3 linked regions of the Notamacropus eugenii genome follow. The protein of the gene in region 1 purifies or fractionates together with the protein of each later gene. This does not show direct contact. Links are inferred from orthologs where the notes say so. Each region holds a gene or a part of one and is shown on either strand. Other genes may lie near its edges. The genes, in order: MAP3K7, PELI3 and RIPK2.

Region 1 (6,945 bases):
ATCAGAGAAATAATGACATGACTTGCACTTGACTTTGTTTTGAGTGAGAGAGGGCTGTGTACGTCACCAGCCTCACTTTTCCTCCAGAGCCATCTGAATCCAGTGACCAGATATTCATCAGGATGACTGGAGACCCAGGATGAGGTAGTTGGGGTAAGTGACTTGCCCAAGGTCACACAGCTAGTGAGTGTCAAGTATCTGAGGTAAGATTTGAACTCAGGTCCTCCTGACTCCTGCACTGGTGCTCTATCCACTGCACCACCTAGCTGCCCTCCCATTCATTTTAATTCTTCTATGGAACATCACCAATGTGAAAATGTATTTAATAGGAATGTATGTGTATTGCATGCCGTCTTGGGGAGGGAGAGGGGAGGAAATCTAAGATGTGGTGATTGTAGAAAACTGAAAACAAATAAATTTTTTTAAAAAAGAAAAAAAGAAACCTTGGTTCTTCCTTCATTGTATGTATTGCCATGCTGTCCCAGATATCAGATAACAGATAGTGCATCACTGGAATCCATTTAAGCAGCATCGACAGTATAGGAGCCCATGTTTTCAAACAGCATCTAGTCTCCTACATGCATTTCTGGTAAATTGCCACATTCAGCAATTCGATCAAGGCCATCACATGTTGGTCCCCATATGCTAGAAGAGTAATACTTCTCATCTAGTTTGGGTCTCTTCTGTAGAATAGGTTTAACATCAAACAGGATGCAATTAAATGGTCCATAGAATCCATCACTGGCATAGTACGTAAAGGTTTGATCATTTGCCTCATCTTCATCATCAGAACCTGTTTCTTTAATACAAGTTTTTTTGGCAATGCGGTTAACTCCAAGAATGAAAGCTAATGCAACACAGTATCTGCCTGGTTCAACTATGATTCTCACTCAAGAGTCAGAAAGAAAATACTTGTCCAATGCTGGACTGGTTATATTTGAGATCTCTTCACACTTAAGCTTTACATCCTCAGAACCAGGAAAACCACCACCAATAACAAGAAGAAACATGTTGAAACCAAATTCTACCCCCATGTCTAAGATCATCAGTGATCAGAAACTGGTTGGACAAAGGTTTCTGGATCAGTACAACCACTTCCCGTGTGAAAACTAACTACAATAACATCAATATTCAGTTCCTTTGCCCAAGTATAGTGACCCTATATTTTCTAAGGACTAAACAAGTATAACACAAGCCCCTAGCTGATCCTATCAAAATGGGAAGGCTTTGAATAAGAATTGAGTAAGGTCTGTGTTTGTCCAAGGACTGCCTTAGCTAAATGTGTTATGAAAGCACCTAGTATACCAATGTTATACAGTATGATCAAATGTATCAGATTAAACATCGTAATATACCAAGTATTCAAATTTTTGTGATTTTAGATCTTAGCAGGAACCCAAGACAGTATCTAGTCCAACTCTTTAAACTTCCTTTTACATAGGATGAACCTGAAACAGAAGTTAAGTGACTTGTCCAAGGTTACATGAGAAATGTCACAGTTTACATTTAAACCCAAATCATCTGACACAAAATCCAAAACTCTTTCCAGTACCCAAAGCTATTTCCAGTTCTAACGCAGATATTTGCAGGCTGTGTGACCCTGGGCAAGTTATTTAAGCCTCTCTGTGCCCCAGTTTTCTTAATTGTGAAATTTAAGGAAATAACTACTTGTTGTACCTGCCTCATATATAGGACAGTAAGGCAAGGGTTTGATTATGCCTGGGGAAGTAGGTCAGATCTCAATTGCTTTCCCAGCAAATATGCAAAGGAATTAAGATCCTCTAATTTGTACGGCGCAGAGAACAATCTGTGACTTCTTTACTGATGTCCCAAAGGCATCTTGAACTCCACATATCCAAACCAGAATTCATTATCTTTACCCCCATACTTCACCCAGTATGCCAGATTCATAACCTTAGTGTCATCCTTTACTCCACACTCACTCACCTATTTAATGTTACCAAATCTTGGTTTTTGCCATACATCTCTCCTGTGTATCTCCTGCTCTTCATTCACATATAGCCACCACCCTAGTCTAAGCTGTCATCACCTGCCTGTATTATTATTATAACCTCCTTATTAGTCTCCCTCTACCTGTCTTATTTCTTACCACCCAAATTCATACTCCACTCATTTGCCAAAATGATCTTCCTAAAGTAAAAGTCTGTCATGTCACTCCCCCTCAATAAATTCTAGGGGCTTTCTATTAGCTCCAAGATTAAATATAAAGTCCTTTTTGGGAGTGGGAGGGGGAGCGGTGTTGGGGGGGGGCAGCTAAAGCTTTTCACAACCTGGTTCCTTTCCTACTCTTCCAATCTGTCTAACCTCCTCCACATTTTAAATCCTACTATACCAGCCTACTGGCTGTTCTTCATATCTGCGCTTTATATCTGAAGGCCCTCCACACCTTTGCCTCTTAGAATGTCCAGCTTCTTTCAAGTATCAATTTAATTGCCCCTTCCGATCATTCCTGGCGGTCTTGGCTGCCAGATCTTTCTCTTCTTTTACCCTCCAATTTAATGCTGATTTGTGTTGTGTGTACCTTTTGATTGACATGTCTCCTTATTAGAAAGTAAGCTCTAGGGCAGGGAATTTTTGTTTACTTTGTATCCCCAGCTCTTAGCACAATGCCTGACACCTAGTAAGCCTAGTAATAAACGAGATTTATATATAGCTTCCTAAGTGCCGAGTGCTTTCCAATTATTCTCATTTGATCCTCAATACAACCCTGCGAGGTAGGTGCTATTATTATCTCCATCTTACACATGAGAAAACTGGGGCAAACAGGTTAAATCTATGGTCTACAGTTGAGTTTGAGGTTAGATCTGAACTCTGGTTTTCTTCTCTACAGGGCAGCTAGGTAGTGCAGTGGGACAGAGCACCAGGACTGCAGTCAGGACCTGAGTTCAAATATGCATCCTCAGACGCTTACCAACTGTGTGACCCTGGGCAAGTCACCTAAACCTTCTTTGCCACGGCTTCCCCATCTGTAAAATGAGCAGAAGAAAATGGCAAGCCACTCCAGTACCCCTGCCAAGAAAACCCCAAATGGGGTCGGAAATGACTGAACACCTGGGTTCTCTCGGGACAGAATCACTCAGTATGGTTAAGACTTGGGGAGTATTCTAGCTGGCAGTGACGGAGCCTGAAGCCCCCCGGCACTACTCCCATTATTGACTCCCTGGGCACAGAAGCCCTGGCATAGGCTCACTGCCACCGGGCAGATGGTCAATAAATATTGCCAGCCGGTTTAACTTCTGTCACAGGTCATTAAACGGAGGAAACGCATTCCGGGCTCCCAGGAGCCGCAGCTCCAGTTACGGTGGAAGGTCAGGGCGGGACACGAAGTTTACGGGGAGGAGTCCCGCAGTTCCACGCAGCGCGGAGGGAAGATCCCTCTCTCCCCGACCTCGGCTTCCTTCCCTCGCCGCTGCCCCCTACCCACACAGGGTGCTCAAGGGGCGGGGCTCAGAATTTTCTTCCCAAACTAGGGAGAGAAATAGAGCGGTGGTCACTTCCACTCGGGATAGTCGGGTTCCCGAACCAAGGCAGGCTTTCCCGCTTCACCCGAGTAAACGCGTCCCGATCGCTTCTCCGCAGAGGTGCCAGTCAAGAGCAAAGCAGACGTTCGCGCTTTAGGTTCTGATTGGCACCCAGATCTCGCGGGATCTCCCTCCTAGAGAGGAGGGTCTGCACCCACCCCCGCTACGGCGCTCTCGGGAGGTGCAGGCTAGAAGGCCCGGCTCCCTCCGCTCCTTAGTCTTCTTTTATTGCTCCCAGGATACAGCGCGCCGGGACCGCAGGGCAAAGTCCTGCAGACCCGCGGCTGTCCCTTCTTCCGGTTTCCGAGCGGAACCGGAAGATTAGGAGGCGGGTCCTCCCCTCCCCGACCGGAAAGGGCAGTCGAGCCCGAGCCGGGACACGGCCTCGGCCGCTATCCCCACCACGGCTCCCCGGGCCCCCGGGTCCCCGGACTGTCGGTGTCCGGGCTGAAGGTCGGTCCGGACGACGGAGGACGCAGCCCTCCGGACTGTCGGGGCGGCCTCTCCCCGGCTGCCGAGAGGGATCATGTCTACTGCCTCAGCTGCCTCCTCCTCCTCCTCCTCTTCGGCGGGTGACATGATCGAGACCCCCTCGCAGGTCCTCCACTTCGAAGAGATCGACTACAAGGAGATCGAGGTGGAAGAGGTGGGTGCCGAGCCTTTGTCCCTTCCTGCCCGCCCTAGACGAGCCTTCGTGGGCCTGAGGCTGGAGCTGCCGCAGAGGGGCCGGGGAGGTGCGGGGTGGGAGAGCCTGCCCTTTTCCGTTCGCTGCAGAAGTTTGGCCACAGTACTTCATTGCTTTACGTCGAGATGCCGGGAATAGCAGGCTCCGTAACAGGCTTTCCAGAACAAGACTTAGTTTCCCTCTTTGTCAACAATACTCTCGAGGAACGTGGTGGGACAGTTCCCCATTCCGCTGCTCCCCCAGCCCCAATTCTAATACAGATCCAGTTAAAGCTTAGTGCTGTATCCACAAAGCAGTGGTGACCAGTTAGGTCCTATGCTTTCGAGCTGAAAGGGACCTTGAGATTATCTAGTCCTACCTTTTCACTTTACAGACGCAGAAACTGAGGCCCAGAGGAAGGTTCGGTGACTTTTCCAGAGTCATACTGGTAGTGAAGTAGCGGTGCTGGCCGGAGTTTGCACCAGACTCTCCTTTGACTCCAAATTTGAGAGGATAGGCTGGAAGTCAGCTGTTAGTTAGGATGCTAGGTTTTCGAGATGGAAGGGTGAGCTTTAAAGCTCATTTCATTTAATTATTTTATGAATTACTAAATTCATAAATTTTAGTATTTTTAATATTTTATGAATTACTTATTTCATGAATTACTGAAAAAGGGAAAGCCTGAGCAAAGAGGGTTGCGCTATGAACTGAGGAGACAAATGATAGGGGATAATGCAGAGGTAGAGTCAACGCGGTTCGGGTTGTTGGTTTCCTTCGAAAAGAAAGAATAAAAAATGAATGAGGTTACTAGCAGAATGGTGATGCTTTTGATAGAAAACTTCGAGTTAGGGGAAAAGAGATTGGGAGTTGGGGTTTTTAACTACATTTTGTTAGAAAGTAAACTTTTAAATTAGCTCTCTACATTTATAATGCTTACATATTATTTGACTGCAAAGTGATTTCATCTTTCTGAGCCTCTTTCCTGCTCTGCACACTAAGAGTGGTCAAACTACCAAAATTCTAAAGTCCCTCTAATTAGGTTCTTTGATCTTATAAAAATTGTGTTGACAACACTTCATAAAGGAATCAGTTGTGTAGAGTGAGGTTTAGTTCTCTTAAATCAAACTGATTCTTGAATGTGAATATGTAAAGGAAACATAAAATGGGATTGCTAAAATTAAAGATTAAGATGGTTTTCATACATGGTTCACATTAATGATCAGGTATATTATGCAGTCTATAGAGTGCCATAAACATCACAAAGTTATGCAGAGATGCCGCATAATCCAAATTTGATCTAGAATTTTAAAAAAAGTTGATTGTAAGTTATTGTTAGAAAACCTGAATCCTTCCTTAATCACAGTTCTACTTCACTTTTTCCTTCTGGAGTGTAATAAAGTTAATTCATTAGTTTTTGTCTATCTAGGTGATAGAAGTGTGATTGAGATTATAACATATGTTAAATAAATGCTATTTAGAAGTAAGATCAGGTACACATTTTGCCTACCTATCTGCATTGGTTAAAAATTTTTTTCCTTGCCAGGAGTTCCTCAAAGTACTGAAATTGTTGGTTCAGACCAAAACGACAAATTGTGTATAAAAAAATATTAAAAGACAAATTTCTGAAAAGTTTTAAGGAAATTGACATTAGCAGTTAACTAAACAGTTTGAATATTTTACACATTTATTGGGTACTCTTTTAAGAGTACTCACTCTAAAGTTAGAGGTCCTACCCAGGCTTCAAGTCCTTTTTCTACCTCTCTAGTTTTAAGCCAAGTCGATTAACCTCCTTGAACCTCAGTTTCTTCATCTAGAGAATAAGTGTGTTGAACCAGATGGCCTTTAAAGTCCACTTACAGCTCTAAATATATGATCATATGATCTCCTGTATTAGAGGCATTTTAAAGAACCACATCTTAAGCTGACATGTTTCCAGTCCTTAAAGTACATATTCAGCTTTTAAACTTTACAGTACTTATTCTATAATGGCAATTACTGATAGTATAACAAAGTATATTTTATTATATATGGAAGAATTTTTTTTCTCCATTTTATATGTGTGTGAATAACTTAGTGGAGATACTATACTATATGAGGTCATATAGACAAGAAAAGAATCTTATTTTGTGAATAAAACATAAGAAAAATATTTTATAATTCATATTGATTATGAAAACCCAGAGAACCCTTAAGAAGAAATAGTATGGTTCCATTGTTATTTGAAAGGAATTTCTTTTTTGAAATAAAAGTCAGTCTTTTTTTATGTCATTGAGAGATAAATTTTGAGATCAAAATTTGTGTCATATATAAAAATTGTATTTTTTCCTTTAAAAATTTATGCCAGTGAACTTCTGTGTCTATGGATCAAGGTTTGTGTAAAAATTATAGTATGTAAGTTAGCAGAGCTGGGATTTGCACCCAGATCTTATGATTCTAAATCTTTTATTCTGTCCTTACCACAGAATTTGTGATTAGGCCTCCATAGAAAAGGGAGAAATTCATAGACTAATTCACAAGAGTTATTCAATTCCTACTTTGTGTGCAAAAGACTATATTAGAATTATAAGACATAGCTTCTCTTGATTAAGAGGTCTGGTTCAGGAAATAAAACACATAAGTGGGAAAAGTTGTTGGAGCTATGCAGAACAAAGCCTCACAAAATCTTGGGAGTTGGAAGAGACAAGAGATCATCTACTCCAACTCATAATTGAGTAGGAATTCCCTCTACCACACTCCTAA
Region 2 (7,849 bases), about 150 Mb from region 1:
GCTAGCTTAGGAATGAGTTTTCTCTGGAATCGTCCTCTCTCCTCTGGACTAACGGCTTCTTGAAGGCAAGGACCCAGTCATCCCCGCCCCCCCTCCCCAGTGCCTGCGTGGCCTGGGTGCACAGTAGGCACCCAGAAAGACTTTATGGAGCTGAGCACACAGTAGGCACCTGGAAAGGCCTTTGGGCCTGCAAAAAAAGCCCATTCAGAGGGAAGAGTGGGTACAATAGCAGAGAGAACAGAGGAGGCGGAAAGCAGGAATGAGCTGGGAACAGAGGATGGGGGAGGCAGAGAATGAGTGACAGCAGCCTTTGTGTCCATTGTGGGCTTGCCATCTGGGGACCCAGGGGCCCTGGAGCAGTGCCCAAACTAGCCACCTTCACTCCCAGGACAAAAGCAGGACACTGGGCCACTTACCTGCTGACCTGTGAGGGCAGGGTTTTGGGATTTGTTTTTGTTTTTTTTTTTTTACGCATTTTACATATTTTTCTCCATTGTTAAGCTCTGGGAACACCAGGCCTGCTCTTCTCTTGGTTCACTCTTGTCATTGCCCTGCCCTGAACTGACCCTGAAGGGTGGGCAGGAAGTAAAGGTGTTTTTTAGATGCTGCCCAAAGAGCTGGTCCTCTAAGGCTGATCACAGATATAAAGGAATCCATAGGCTTTCCTACTCTGAAGTCCTATGATGCCCCATACACAGAGGGGTGACTTCTCAGGGCCCTCCCAGGAAATTGTCATCTACTTCCCATGAATCTCCCTGATTGTGAAGGACACGATCCCATCAAGCCCCACAGCCCCAGTGGTGAACGCTCAGATCTGTCTACCTCTGGAAGTTTTTTGTTTTTGCCGTGAGGGTCTCTCTGGGCAGGTTAGAGGGTGGTTCCCATTAACTCCAGAATCATTAGGGTCCAGCTCTTAGAACTGGGGACCCCACACAGTGCCCTCTGTCTCTCCTCTCTCCCTCAGACTCCCGCCCAGCTTCCTTCCTTTCCTGGGTTCGTTCCTGCTATCCCTATAAGTCCCTGTTATAGAGCCCTCCTCACCAGAATCCTCATTCTGGGACATCAGAAGCAGCATTTTGTTGAGCATTATGGGAAAGAAAGTGCTAAAGTCATGCCCACTAGCTCCAGCTTATCCAGGCGCTCCAGAGGGTGCCAGGATTTAAGTACCAAAAGCATTCCTCACTTAACAGATGAGGAAACTGAGATGCAGAGGGGTTATATCAGCCTCACAGGGGCACACAGCCAGGAAGGTCCAGGACCAGAATGAAGACCGATGTTTTCAGGCTCCACATCTCATGTTCTTTCCTCCAGGGTTCATCAGCTCCCTGGCATCTTGGGAAATGGGGGCACCTTCCCCAGCAGAACAGCAGAGAACATGCTATTATTCAGTCAACAAGCTTTTTCTAAGTGTTTGCACTGTTCTGGGCATTGGGTTTCATGCTCCATTGTGGGGTCTGCATAACAGATGAAGTGATTTGTGATTTGTCAGGAAAAGGCTTCATCAGGAAAAAAGGACTTCAGTTTGAGAGATGGGTGTGTTTGGAAGAGTGTTGTGGGAGGGCACAGAAGGGTGGGTAGGTTTGGAATAGGAGAGGTAGAAGGGCATGGAAGGACAGGTAGATTTTGGATGGGGGAGGTGGAAGGGCTTTGGGGAGAACACTGGACGAATTAAAATGCAATTGTCATTCAATGTTTCATTCATTCATCTGACAGATATTTCAGCCCCTGCTCCACTCTTGAAGGTTGAGGGTGGTACAAGGATAAGGAAGATGTGATCTCTGGCCTTGAGGAGTTTACAAATTAGAGGATTTAAGTCATATACAAAGAGACTATCCATTAGCCCAGGGTTCTTAACCTGGGTCTGTAGATAGATTTCTTTTTAAAAAAAAAAAATTATATCTGTATTTCGATATATTGTGTTTCGTTTGTAATTCTATGTATTTTGTTTTACTTTATGTATTTAAAGACATTAACCTGAGAAAGGGTCAGCTTCAACAGATTGCATTTTACGGCACATAAAAGGTTAAGAAATTTTGTGTTTGACTGTGGTGAGTGGAAGTGAGCACTATAGAAGTGTAGGATGTGAGAGGAAGGGATCGCTTGTAGTTGGAGAATCAGGGCAAGTTTGCTCTGAACCTTGTGTGTTTGCTGGTAGGGATGTTGAAGGCAGGGTTTTGGGAGAGCTGGTTCAGGTTTGAAAGAATTCACTTAGACCTCTTTTAGCCAATGGGAGCTTTTAATTTTACATGAAAAAGCATCACAGGTCTCTTTAGCAAGAAAGCTAAGGGAGACCCCATATCTGGAGGAGCTAATGCTTTTATAGAGGTCTCAGAATGATGCTGTAGTTTTAGAGGTTTTTATGGACGTTAAAGATTAAAGATAGGACTGGATGACATAGGATGAAGGACACAGGGAATTCTTTATGGTTTAAGGATTTGGGGAGGGAGAGATACAGACTAAAAATTAAAGGACCTGGAGAACCCAGGATAAGGAAGACAAAGCAATTCTTTTGGTACAGGCTCAAGATAAGGGGGAAAGGACTTTAGGGAACCTTCAGGTTACAGAGTAAACTAGGGGCTTCATAAAGTCCTGGAAAAGCAGCTCAATGTTATTTTTAACCCTTCGGGCACTGTCTGTATTCTGCATCATTTCCTCACTCAACCACTAGGCAGGAGAAATCTTTCGGGAAAGGGACAAAGGTTATTGCCTTTTTCTGTCACTTTTCTGGCTGGTCACCTCCTGGTCTTATCTCCTATCTCACGTCTAGCTTGCTCCAAAGGCCCCAAGCATTCTTTTCTACCTCATCGGAGAGATTCACATGCCAAGTCCGATCTGTTCCTGCCTCTCTTACTGGTCCCCCAAAAGCTGTATCTTAACTAATTAGCCATTTGCCCTCTGGTTCAGCCACAGGAATGGTGAAAGATGCCTGATCTTTTCTACATGAAGTTAGATTCTCCGTGGATTCACTTTTTCCAGAGCTAAGGCAAGAGGCCAGAGTGAGATAGGAATAGTTGCATTGTTTGCAAAGTATGGTATCACCACTAGGGAGATGCTAACTCCTGGTCTGGCAGCATCGGAGGCTACATGTTAGGAGCCAAAGGTCACCGGAGGGTGTCCAGGGAAGCATCACCAAACTCTGGTCTAATGGGTACTATCTCTGTATAAACTCCTCCAGGTCCAGTATTATGTCTTCCCTATCCTTGTGCTGCCGAGGAGATCAGGCTACATGGGGATGGTGGCCAAGGCTTAAGAAGAAAATTCTTAAGGAGGAAACCTACCAACTGTGGTCAAGCGTCAGAAAGGCCATCCTGTGAAAGGGGGGTGGTGTGTTTATTCTACTTGCTCCCAGAGGACAGAACTGAGTGCAAAGGCTCTGGGTTCCAGAAAGGACGATACTTTCTTAGGCACTGGTGACATTTGAGGACGGCTGACCTCACTTTCAGCTCTGATTCTGTGACTCTGTGTGACCTAACTTAGGAATTTGTGACATGATACTGTGAGTTTGAGTTATCTGTGTCTTTGTCCCCTCACCCTCCCAGACTTTGAGTATCATGTCATCAGGGACCAGTTCAAGCTTCGCCCCTCCTCCATCCCAGCCCCCAGGCCCAGAGCCTACCACATAAATGTTCCTTGCCCTGGTTGCCATCTGTGAATTTACCTATGTTGTTCTCTCAGCTACATCAACATTTGCTGAGCCTGGCTTGGAGACCATTCACTTAACCACCTCAGTTTCCTCATATGCAAAATGCGGATATAATAGCACTTACCTTCCTGGGTTGTTGTGAGACTCAAAAAATAGGCATAAAACACTTTGTAAACCTTAAAACACCATAGAAGTGGTGGGCCTCGAGACCAGCTGTGGAGGGCCAGACAAGGATGGAATTCAGGAACCCTCAGTATGACTACCCTGAGATCAGAAGGAGGGACTTGACACTTCCAGGGAGGGTCCTGTTTCCTGTGTGGGCTGTAGACTGGGTTTTCAAAGATGCTTCTCAGTTTCCTCCCCAGGGTTTGGGGAGGAGTTTTATGTCCCCTCCTCTCTCCTAGTCAGAAACAGATGGACTTGGGAATCTCAGTGTCCTGGTTAAGAACTCAAGCCCTTCCATTTTACAGACAAGGAAACTGAGGCCCATCACATAATTTTCCCAAAGAAACATGGGGAGGAGCACGAGAGATAGGATTTGAATTTGGGTCCTCTAATTCCAGAGCCAGTGGGCCAGGGCAGGGCCAGGCATGAGACTCCACTCCTTGACAGCTGCTCTTTCTCTTTTCCAAGCACACCTGGCTTAGCCACCTTGGCTTTCCCCGATTCCTCCATAGGCTTCAGATCCTTGGGGCCACTTGACCTGTAAGACCAGAGAGCTGGAGGGAACGGTAGGGATAAGTTAGTCCACCTTGCCCATTTTATAGAGGGGAAGAGGGAGGCCCAGAGCCCTGAAGTTACTAGTTGGAGGTTACAGAAGGAGCAAGGGGTAGAGCCGGGATTCCAGCCCCCTGGTCCTCACGCAGGACCCTCTGACCCAGCCCCCGGGCTCCGCTGTCCCCTTGCTCCCCCTCCTCCTCCATCCTTCCCCCCATCACACACACGCACACACACAAGAACCGACAAGGGGGATGTAAGGGAAGGGGGTCCCCGAGCTGAGCCGGAGGAGGCGGGGAAGGAAGGAGGAGGGGCGGAGTCCCACCAGAAGGAGGCGGAGCCTCGGCCGAGGTGCGAAGTTTCGCCGCAGGAGGAGGAGCTCGAGGAGGCGGAGCCCCGGCCCAGGGGGGCGGGATCCGAGGAGGAGGCGGGGCTCTGGGTGGTGCGCGTCCCCCTCCCCTTCCTTGTCCTTCTCGCCCTCCCCCCGACTCTGGGTGTCCCCGTGACGAGCCAGCGCCGTGGTGCCGCCGGGCCGGCCCAGCCCAGCTCGGCCCGGAGCATCCCAGCCCGGTCCAGCCACTGCGGACCTGCCTGCGGCCAGGAGCGCCCCGGGGCTAGGTAAGGGGCCACCCCGGGGGGCGGCCAGAAAGGTGGGCGGGGCCTGGAGGCGGGATGGGGGGACCCTGGAGGGAGGGGGCGGCAGGGGTCCGGGAGTCCAGCGCCCCGCGGCTGTCTGGCAGGGCGCACGCTCTGCGCCCCGGGGCTCCCGTGGGGATCTGCGTAGGTGCTCGGCTCTCCCGCGGCTGCTCCTAGTCCCGCTCCCGAAGCTGCTGCTGTCGCCCCCCCGCGGCGGCTGCGCCTGCCCGTCTCGGGGTGCGCGGCTCGGGCCCCCCCTCCTCTCCCTCCCGCGCGCGTCCCCTGCGTGGCTGTGTTTCCCAAACAGGTTCCCTGCAGGAGGGCGAGTCTGCTGCAGCCTCAGCTCAGGGCGCACCGGGAGGGTCAGAGGAGGAGAGATGAGGGTGAGAGCGAGCCCCCGCCGCGTCCCCAAACACACCGGGACACACACGCAGATGGGCAGATGGGCTGGGGGACCACCACTGGCCCAGGGGAAGCGTAGCCTGCTGAGGGCGGGCAGAGGCAGAGATAAATGGGGAGACGAGGAGAGATACGGGGAGAGACCTGAGGAGCCCCGCAAGGCCGGGGGCAGAGACCGCCCGAAGTGCTCTGCCTAAGAGGGGGACCCCGAGGGCCGATGGGGCTGGGGGCTTCTTACTCCCCGGTGTCCAGAAAGGGGGAAAGCATCTTCTAAGGGGGAGGAATCTTGTCCAGGAGGAAGCCCAGATCCTCTGCTGTTGAGCCAGACTGGGACACATGTCTCTGGAGCCTCAGAGCTTCACTACCCCTGTCCAGGCATCCCCTTCCCTCTATCCCCCCTCCCCCATTACCATGGTAACTAGGCAGCTGGGGGAGGCAAAGGCGGCAGTGTTACCATGGTAATGGGGAAGGTGAAAGGTCCCCCATTCAGAAGAGGGGGAGGCCAGGGGACTGGGGCCCAGATTGGATCCAACTGTTTGGGGGAAGCTGGGTGGAGGGGGAAGTCTGAGCAGCTTTCTCTCTCTCTCCTTGGATCTCTGGTAGGATGGTGTTGGAAGGCAGCACTGACGTGGGGACCCCAGGATCCCTGGGCCTCCGGCAGACCAGCGCCAAAACCCCCCGAATCCTTCCTGCTCCTCCTTCGGACAGTTTGCTGTTGGGCAAGGAGCCTGTCAAATATGGGGAACTCATCGTGCTGGGGTGAGGGCCTGGAGCTAGAGGTCTGGGGTGGAGGGTTGGGCGATGAGGGGAGAGTGCCCAGGAAGACCTGAGGGAGCTCCACAGAGAACACACTGAAAAGCTAGAGCCAAGCTAGGAACTAATGTTAGAAAACATTCGAGGCAGAAAGGGAACTTGATTCATCCCCTTCACTTTACAGAGGGGTAAGCTGAGGTCCACAGAGAGGGAGTGCCGGGCCCAAAGTTGAGCACTTCTCAAGTGGAAAAGCAAAGACTAGAACCCATGCCTCCTAGCTCCCAGGCCAGTGTTCTTTCCTCTCCCCCATGCTGTGGCCTCTGTGTGTCTTTGGAACCTCCTGGCCCTTTCTTTGGACTCTGGGAGGCATTCCTGGGTCCTCTCTCCCAATTCAGTGCCATACAATGGAGCAAACAGTGCTCACTTTCCTGTTCTGTACAGAACCTTGTACTGGGCATGGGGAGAAAGGAAGTTGAGACAGGCACAGACCCTGTCTTCATGGAGCTTTTAGGCACAAAAACAGAGAAGTAGGAGACATGACACAGTATGATCAGAGAGGTGGAAGGAAGGTCTGTGCTGACAGGGGTGATCAGGGCCGGTTCACTGGAGGAGGAGGGGTTAGCGTTGGGCTTTGAAGTGAAGGAGGGAGGGAAGGGCCTTCCCCAGGAAGGGATGGCAGGCAGGCAGGGAACAGAGCATGTAGTTTGGAGAGCATGGAGGGACTTAGGATGAAACCGTGTTTAAAGGGGAGGGTGGGAAGTCGAATTGGAACTTTACTCAGTACACAGCAGATCTGGGTGTAACGAAGATTATTCTGGTAGTGGTCTGAAGGATGCACTGGGCAGGTGGGATGGCCAGGAGGCTGTCACAGGAAGCCAGGCTGGTAGCAAGCAAGCCTGAGCAGAGGCAGAGGGAATAATGTGGAGGACAATTGTGAAGGCTTTGATGGGAGGTAGCCTGAGGACCTACTAGAGCTGACTGGGAATGAGGAAGGAATGGGAAGAGACAACCATGATGCCCAATTCCAGAAGAGGAAAAGCGATTGGATGGTGGTACCCCAGACAGGAATCATGCCAGCAGGGCAAGCAGGAGCACAGGGGAAGAGTAGCCAAGTAGTTTCCAAGGCTCTCAACAGCTCAGTGAGTTATTTCAGGGTCTTCCCAGAAGGTAAGGTGAACCAGCAGTGTGCTGGACTGGAACAGCGCTCCCTGGGCCTTTCTTTCCCCACAGCTACAATGGGTCCCTGGCCAGCGGAGACAAGGGCCGCCGCCGCAGCCGCCTGGCGCTGAGCCGGAGACCCCAGGCCAATGGGGTGAAGCCTGACGTTGTCCACCATATCTCTACCCCACTCGTGTCCAAAGTAAGGGACAGCCCAGGCTTGACATCTCTCCTTGTCCCCTATCCCTTCTTTCCCGAGTTGTAACCTCTCCTTGTAGATCCTACCATGTTCCTAAGGATGCAAGCAAGACCATGGCTAGGGGCTGGATGAGTGATTGTCCCTTCTTCTCCCCAGGCACTGAGTAACCGGGGCCAGCACAGTATCTCCTACACACTCTCTCGGAGCCACTCGGTCATCGTGGAATACACCCACGACAATGACACAGACATGTTCCAGGTATGGCTCTCCCCCTTCCTCAGTCCTTCCTTCATTCCTCCTTCCCTTCCCTCTTTCCCTTCTTCCCTCCTTTCCTTTCTTCCTTC
Region 3 (7,838 bases), on another chromosome or scaffold:
CTCTCTATCTGCATGTCTAGTGTGTATAGAACCACTTCAAAGTGATATGATTAATGGGGGTTATGGAAGGGAGGGGTGAAAGGAAGGCAGAGGAGGAGGTGAAGAGATGTTCCCTCCTCCAGACCTCCTGGACTATGTCTGTCTGTCTCTCATTCTCTTGGAGGGATGGATGTAGGGATGGATGGATGGATGGAGAGAGAGAGAGAGAGAGAGAGAGAGAGAGAGAGAGAGAGAGAGAGAGAGAGAGAGAGAGAGAGAGAGAGGGAGAATCCCTTTACAGAAAGAATGCCTTTAGAAATATTTACACCATATAAATCATCTCCATTTCTTTAGGGTGTTTAATTATGATAAGGAATCAACGGCTCTATCTTGAATGACCTACCTCAATCTCTACATGGCATTTTGTTAACAATATGACTACATCTATGTTGCTATACAATATTACATAATCCATTGCAGGAAAAACAGTGTGGTTATTCATGTCCTATTATCCCAATAAGCATTATGCATCATCTGCTGTCATTATTCAGCACCCTATCGTGATTCACCACAACAAATCCTCCAGACTTTCTAGAGGACACACCTTCCCCAATCATATCAGACACACTTTTGACCCACATAATATGAGCCACAATTTTACGCTCCCCTCCAAGTTGGAACTTGCATAGATGTTGCTACAGAGAACTTGTCATGTGAAGCACAGGTTTCATACTGATTTGAGCTCTACATCCCTAATTTTTATTGGCACAAAACCATGCATAATTTTAAAGAGAGATTAATACAGGTTATAGCCTGACTTCTTAAAGGAAAAATTATTTAGTTTAATTTCAGGTACTCAATAAATATTGGCTGAATTGAAGGGACCAGTGGAATATGAACCAGCATAATGGCCTGGAGTAGCTTACTGTAGGGCTCTTGTCCTGTCTAATGTTATCAAACAGGAAGCATGCTCAATCCTCATTCTCCTTGACATCTCTGCAGCATTTGATACTGTTGACCGTCACCTGGCTAGCTCTCCTCTCCAGGTTTTCAGGACAATTTCTTGCTTCTCTTCCTAACTGACTGCTCCTTCTCAGTATCCTTTATTGGATATTAGCCACAACACAGCCTCCAACTGTAAGTACACCACAAAGCTCTATCCAATATTCTTTTCTCTTCTCTCATTTCATCACCGTTTCCAAAGATAGTAGACAGAAAAGTTCTGTCCCAGAATCACAGACTTCCACGCTCCCCAGGACATGCCTCTAGCTACAGTATGCTGCCTGCTCTTCCCCTGACATGGTCTGACCTGAGCAAAGTACAGCATGACCATACACCTCCTTATTATTCTTAGAAACTATATTGCTCTTAATGCAGTCCAAGATCATACTAGATTTTCTAGCTGTCACATTACATTATTACTGATATTTAGTCTATGGTCCACCAAAACCTCCACAACACAGATATTTTAACAGAGAGCAAACAGATCTATATGAGAAACCAAACTTCTGTTAGTTCAGTTTCTTTTTAAGATATACACAAGTATACATATAATATATAATTTAATAAGATAGCAAAACTCCTGTTTATGGCCCCTTCTGCCTTTTTTCCTTCTTCAAACTACTTCCTAAATATGCTTTCACAATCTTATATTTGTGAATTTGATTTTTTTAATTCTAGTGCAATACTTTATTTCTAGTAAATTTCATTTTGTGAAATTTGACCCCAAATTCTAGCCTTCTAAGATCTTTTTAGATTCTTTCTCTGTTATTCATTGTGTTAAGAATTCTTTCCAGTTCTATGATATGTGTAAATTCAATAAGCATGTCATCTATAGTTAATCTGAGTTAATGACAAAAAATGTTAAACAGTACAAAGCTAAGCTCAGATCCCTTGGTACTCCACAGGAGACTTCCTTCCAAATTAACAATAAACCTTTAATGACAGGCCATTTAACCAGCTATAAATCCATAGAATTATACTGTTGTCTATCTCATTATCTTGCCGTCTTTTCTACAAGAATAATATGAGTCAAGCTAAATGAAAGCTAAGAACACTAACACAAAATTAGATAACATTAAAAGAGGCATTACTTCTAGCCCAAGGAGGTAGAACTCTGATCTGGTAAGACCATATTGGGAGTATTGTGATCATTTGGGGGCACATTTTAAGAAGAATATGGATAAATTAAGAATATTCAAAAGAGGAAACCAGTATGGTAAAGGGCTTTAATTTTCTGACATATGAAAATCAGTTGAGAGACCTGAGATGTTTAATTTAGAGAAGAAAAGACGCAGGAGGGTCATGACAGGTGTCAAGAACTTGAAAGGTTATCAAGAAAGATTTTTTAAAAATTATTTTTCAGTGATACAGGGTAGAAAGGAAATAGATTTTTGTTCATTGAAAAAATAAAATTTAATAAAAAAGAAAAAAGACTTTCACGTAGAAAAGGAATTCAATGTGTTTTATTTGATCACAAAGAGCAGAACTAGTAGTAAGGGTTGGAATTTTCAAAGAGGCAAATTAAGGCATGACTTCAAGAAGAAACTTCCTTACTATTGGATCAATTTAAAAGATTAATGGAGAAGTAGATAGAGCTCCAGGTGGGAAATCTGGATGATTCATGTTCAAATCTGACCTCAGATACTTATGACCTGTGTGACCCCAGGAAAGTCACTTCACCTCTGTTTACCTCAGTTTCCTCATCTGTAAAATGGGGATAATAATAACACCTACCTCCCAGAGTTGTTGTGAGGATTAAATAAGACAAAAATTGCAAAGCACTTACTAAGGTGCCTGGCACATAGTAACTCCTATATAAATGTTAGCTCTCATTTTTTTTTTAATTTTAAAAGTGAAACAGATTGACTTGAAAAGTAATGGATTTTCTCCTCACAGGTAGTTCTTAGACAAAAGCTGAGTAGCCATTTATTGGGCAAAACGTAGGAGGCATTCTTTTAAAGGTTTGGACTGGACTAGATGTTTGGTGAAATTCCTTCAAACTCTGAGATTCTATATTAAATTTTATTAGATCTACAGTGAGAATTTTAGCAGCATATTAGATGATTAGTAGTCAAATCCTTCAGCAATCAGCAGAACACAATATACAAATATTTTGTCTTTGTTTTTGTCTTAACTCATGAGTTCATCAATGTAGAGAACTCTCAGCATGCAAAATCCATCTGTAAATACAAATCATGTATATATTTTAATCTTTGAGAATTTCCCGGGGCATCAAAGGTTAGTTTAAGTTACTTGTCTATAGTTACATAACAGATATGTGTCAGAGACAAGATTTAAATCCAAATCTTCTTAACTTCAAGGTCTCTATCCTTCCTGAGGCCATTAAGGACTAGACCATCACATTCTGCCTCTACCCTTAAGATTTCAAAAATAATACAGTAAACACTGAGCGACATCATGACCAATTAGAATTTAGGCTCGTTGAAGGCAAGAACTATATTTCTTTCTTTCATTCTTTGTATCCCCAGGACTTAGCACAGTGCCTAGAACATAACAAGATGAACAAATGCTTGATGCTAGACTTGTTGACATGGCCAAAGTACTGGAGCTAATTAATTAGATGTCTGAACTTCAAGGTAGTCTGAAGCATGTTCCTAAGAGCTCAAGAAGACCATCCTGGATTTCTCTATTCCTGTGGTCTATAAGCTTTCTGTGCATAGAGGCTCCCTGGCCACATGCCACCCTGTGTCCCCCTCCAAGCCTGTCTGCCTTTGTAGGACATGGAGATATTAATTCTGTAAGATGAAGGCTGTGTCCTGGATCTGGTGTAAAGTGAGGCACCTTAGATTTTCCTTTAGGGGCCTTCTCTTAAATATTTCAAATAAATAGGCTATTGTTTAGAGTTTTGCAAAAATAAAGATGAATTTGGGTAGACCTGAAAAGGTTTAGAAGTCCAATTACAGCTCATTTCCATAAATCCTACCTACTCGAGGAGTACATGGTGATCTAGGAAAATTAAATTACAGGCTGGGGTCATAAGTAGAATTCTTTTAGATCACCATCAGCAGTGGGATATCAAGTGTGTGATAAAGCACCATCTATCAAACTATTTCTCTAAAGCAAAGCTATCAGACTGGAAGTCTATAGGCCACAAGAGGCCTAGCTGAATGCCCATTTAAGCAAATCAAAATGCAATTGAGAAATGTTTTACAAAATTAAAAAAAAAAAATACAATCCAACACAGGTAATGTTAATTTGCCTTTTTCTAAGTCAATATATGATCCTCTCTTTTTTGAGTTTGGCACGGCTGCTCTAAAGGAAAACATTTTAAAGTAGAAGAGAAGTTTAAGATTTTTGTTATAATTTTATACTTGATGAAACCAATAATGGCTACTCAACCTTCAAGTAACAGTAGTAATATGAGGATGCCTACAGCAGACAGATATTCCACATCTACAAGTCTATTGTTTAGATGATTACCTCTGCTGTTGCTGCCACATTCATCCCACAGTGGGCTCAATAGCACCTGACGATTTTGTGCATGTCATTTTACTTCTCTGGACTATGGTTTCCCCATCAGCAAAACTGGAAATCTCACATAAAGCCTCTCTCTTCTCCCTAACTACCCCAATTCCTTCCATAAAAGAGGGACAAGTAACTCATTGCCAAAGCTTGGTTTGATAGAAATACAAGATTTGAGATCTGAGTTTCCTTCTAAAGAGACAAAGTTACAAAATCCTCATCAAAGGAATGTGGGCAAATGAGAAAAAAAACAAAACAATGAGAAATTTAGTCCATCTTTTCTGTAAAAAAAAAAAAAAAATTAACTGGTCAGATTTTTTTTTTTTCCCTCAAAGGGAGGTTGCCTGGTGTAATGATTCAGGTACCCAATTTTTTCAAAGCCAAAAGACCAGAATTCAAATCCCTGACATTTATTGACACTCTGTGACCTTGGATAAGTCACTTTAACTCTCTGGGACTCAGTTTCCTCACCTCCAAGTGAAGTTGGATTATACAACCTCAGAAATCCTTTCCAGTTCTAAATCTAGACACCTACAAAAGCTGGAGCCCTGAGCAAATTCAGAGAAATGTCTTCCTTCCTTCCTTCTTTTCCATTTATCCTACTTTTATATGCTGATAGGGGAATAAAGATGAAGAGAAGGAAGAAAAGATTCGAGGGGAAGAATTAAAAGAGTAAAATGTCTTTATAATATATTATGATAGGTTTCTTTCCCTGCAGCTCCTATATCGATGGAGCAATGGGAAAGACAGTGTAGGACAAGCAATACCTGATTTCTGGGACTGGGACTTTATTATTCTCCAACACGTGGCGCCCTCCAAAAAGGTCAGAATTTATTATTTTATAAACCCTTCCAAAAACAACGTTTTCCAGTGTTTCTCACCAAGGTCTTCCATCCAGTTCAGCTGGCACTTTCTCCCCTAGCCGCCCCACCAATTCCCCCACCTCAGACTTGGCTCTCCAGTTTGGCAATTTCCGAGTTGTACGTGCAGTCTGGAATGAGAATGGAAGATCCCGCTGACCAAGCGGAAAAGAACCGGCCGGGCACACTTAGGGGTTTTCCCAAAAAGAAAGTGTGGCTTTTCCTGAAGCCAAGGGAGAGTAGAAGGAAAAAACAAAAAAAACAAAAGAGGAGTTTCCTGATCGATCGCCTCGCTTCTTTAAAACTCTAGAGCGAAACTTTTCCCCCACAGCCCATACAACGTGCGCAGCATCCCCACAGTCCTTTCAGAGGAGGAGGCGTCTTCCCAGGGTGGAGACCTGGAGGCTGGCTTCTTACGCTGAGAGGGCTGGCACGGAGCCTGAGATCTCGGAGGCACAGGGGGTGAGGGACTGAATCGGGTGATCCCGGCGCGGGAGGAGCCGGGAGGGGAAGGAAGAGGAGTGTGCGCTGAGCGGCCAGTGCCAGGATCCAAGGCTGGAGACGCTTTTAAGCTGCTGACGTAGCCTGGCAAGCTTGGGAAGGGAGGAGCAGCCGGAGCCGGACCCACACAGAGTTCGGGAGAATTCTTCAGTTTCCTCCAAGGCTGGGGGAGTAGGTCTCGGGTGGAGAGAAGCAGCACCCATTGAGACCGGAGCAGCTTCGGCGGGACTTTGCCCTCGCTTTCTGGGGAGCACCTTCGGGGCTGTGGGCGGCTCGAAGCACTGCAGAGGCTGTTTGGATTGCAGCCGGGGAGGGTTAGCGGAGTCGGGGAAAAGGGACTTTACTTTCTCAGGGTGCTAAAGGGGAGGGAGCCAGTCTCAGACCGCTGCCCTCCGGGGGGAGGGGAGAAGCACCAATGCCCGCGCTCCCGCAGCGGGAGGTGGGAGCGTAGTAGCGCTGCCAAAGCGGAACCGTCCCTCCAGAAACACCGGACTTTCGCTGGAAGAGTTGGGGCTGTCTCCTCCCGGTCTGGCTAGGAGGATGAACGGGGACAGCCTAGCCATCTCCAGCTCCTTGCCCACCATCCCTTACTACAAGCTCGCCGATCTGCACTTCCTGAGCCGGGGGGCATCAGGCACCGTGTACTCGGCTCGCCACTCCGACTGGCGCGTCCAGGTGGCAGTGAAGCAACTGCATTTCCAGTCCCCATTGCAGGAAAGGTAATGACCCTCACCATCGCGGCCCTTCCTCGGGGGCCACAGGTCTCCGCCACCTAAAGGTGCACTCCCACCACTCCGATCCTTCCCTATACCCTCTGTGGCTCGTGGATGTGGTCAGGTAACAGGCGCGCGCGCACATGCTCTCCTATGCAGGTGAGCGCCTCCCTGCTCCGCCGGGCACCTCCTCCTGAATCGGGCTGCCGTGTGATTTACAGGAGAAGCAGGTGGGAGAGGGGAGTGGGGAAAATCCAGCTCTTTTGTCCCTTTTCTTAGACCAGAATCAGATTTCAGCCCGTCTCCTAAATCCCAAACCCCACATCATTGCCACGCCATCCCTAAATGCACCTCCCTTTGCTTTGCTTTGGTTTTGTGTTTGGCCTTTATGGATATGCCATTTAAAATATATATAATTGTAAAGGTACAGTAAGGTTTTTGTTTTGTTTTTGATGGTTGTGCCTCTTGTTGATTGACTTTAAGAAATTTTAAATACCATAGCACATTAGACTTGAGTTATTCCTCCTAGTCCACTCTGGAATTGAAGTCACTGGAGGCTGGAGAACCTACCTCTCATTCTTATTGTATGTGGTAACTGGTGGGAGACTGTCTCTAATGGCCACTGGTCGATTTAAGGGAAATGGTTAAAGTTTGAGGAAACTCTCCTTTCGATTTCAGTTCCAGAAATATTAGCAACACAAGCCTTCAATTCTGTTTGTGCCAACTCTAGACATAGATGCTAGTCTGTGTGTACACTGTTCTTTCCTTTGTAACTTCACTGTACCCTACAGTCACTTTGCAGTGGTCTCACTTTCATGACCTAAACACTTTCTTCTCCCACAGAATCATAGAAGCCTAAACTTATAAGAGACATAAGCAAGTCAGCCTCTTAATTTTACAAGAGTAAAAAGGAGGATCCAGGGAAGTTAAGTGATTTGCCCAAGGTCTGATGGTGGCAGAAAACTCAGGGTTTTTATTTGTTTGTTTTACCTTCAAGGTTAAGGGACCTTTCTGCTACAAATGTATGTAGATTTGTAATATTAAACTACAGCCTAGTGAAAGACGTAGTATGTGTTTTCTTTCTAAATCCTCTTTTAAAATATTGCTCAGTCTCCGCCAGGTTCTACCTCTCAGGGCTGTCAAGATCCCCTCCCCTTGTTGCACTCCCCAACCCCCATTCCCACCTTATCTTCAACTATTAACATCTAAAAATGGGAAGTAGCCAGCTATTAAGGCTTCAGTAGCCCTCTTAGGCAGCATTAGATGCTCGGGCATCTATGAAGTTTGCTTCCTCTCACTT

The links.
Region 2: the proteins of MAP3K7 (region 1) and PELI3 purify together in Homo sapiens (affinity purification with western blotting; 3 studies listed by BioGRID and IntAct, with this or other methods). This does not show direct contact. The link is inferred for Notamacropus eugenii from reciprocal best matches to the Homo sapiens genes MAP3K7 and PELI3.
Region 3: the proteins of MAP3K7 (region 1) and RIPK2 purify together in Homo sapiens (affinity purification with western blotting; 4 studies listed by BioGRID). This does not show direct contact. The link is inferred for Notamacropus eugenii from reciprocal best matches to the Homo sapiens genes MAP3K7 and RIPK2.

What each region holds. Positions count from the first base shown.
Region 1 is NC_092873.1:164,561,788-164,568,732, reverse strand, and holds the start of MAP3K7 (mitogen-activated protein kinase kinase kinase 7), read left to right. Parts: upstream 1-3,888; 5' UTR 3,889-4,068; coding exon 4,069-4,188; intron 4,189-6,945. UniProt on the Homo sapiens protein: Serine/threonine kinase which acts as an essential component of the MAP kinase signal transduction pathway. Plays an important role in the cascades of cellular responses evoked by changes in the environment.
Region 2 is NC_092873.1:19,029,609-19,037,457, forward strand, and holds the start of PELI3 (E3 ubiquitin-protein ligase pellino homolog 3), read left to right. Parts: upstream 1-4,780; 5' UTR 4,781-4,978; intron 4,979-5,303; exon of another isoform or gene 5,304-5,314; 5' UTR 5,315-5,379; intron 5,380-5,998; 5' UTR 5,999-5,999; coding exon 6,000-6,154; intron 6,155-7,378; coding exon 7,379-7,508; intron 7,509-7,661; coding exon 7,662-7,763; intron 7,764-7,849. UniProt on the Homo sapiens protein: E3 ubiquitin ligase catalyzing the covalent attachment of ubiquitin moieties onto substrate proteins. Involved in the TLR and IL-1 signaling pathways via interaction with the complex containing IRAK kinases and TRAF6.
Region 3 is NC_092875.1:164,404,405-164,412,242, reverse strand, and holds the start of RIPK2 (receptor-interacting serine/threonine-protein kinase 2), read left to right. Parts: upstream 1-4,783; 5' UTR 4,784-6,365; coding exon 6,366-6,544; intron 6,545-7,838.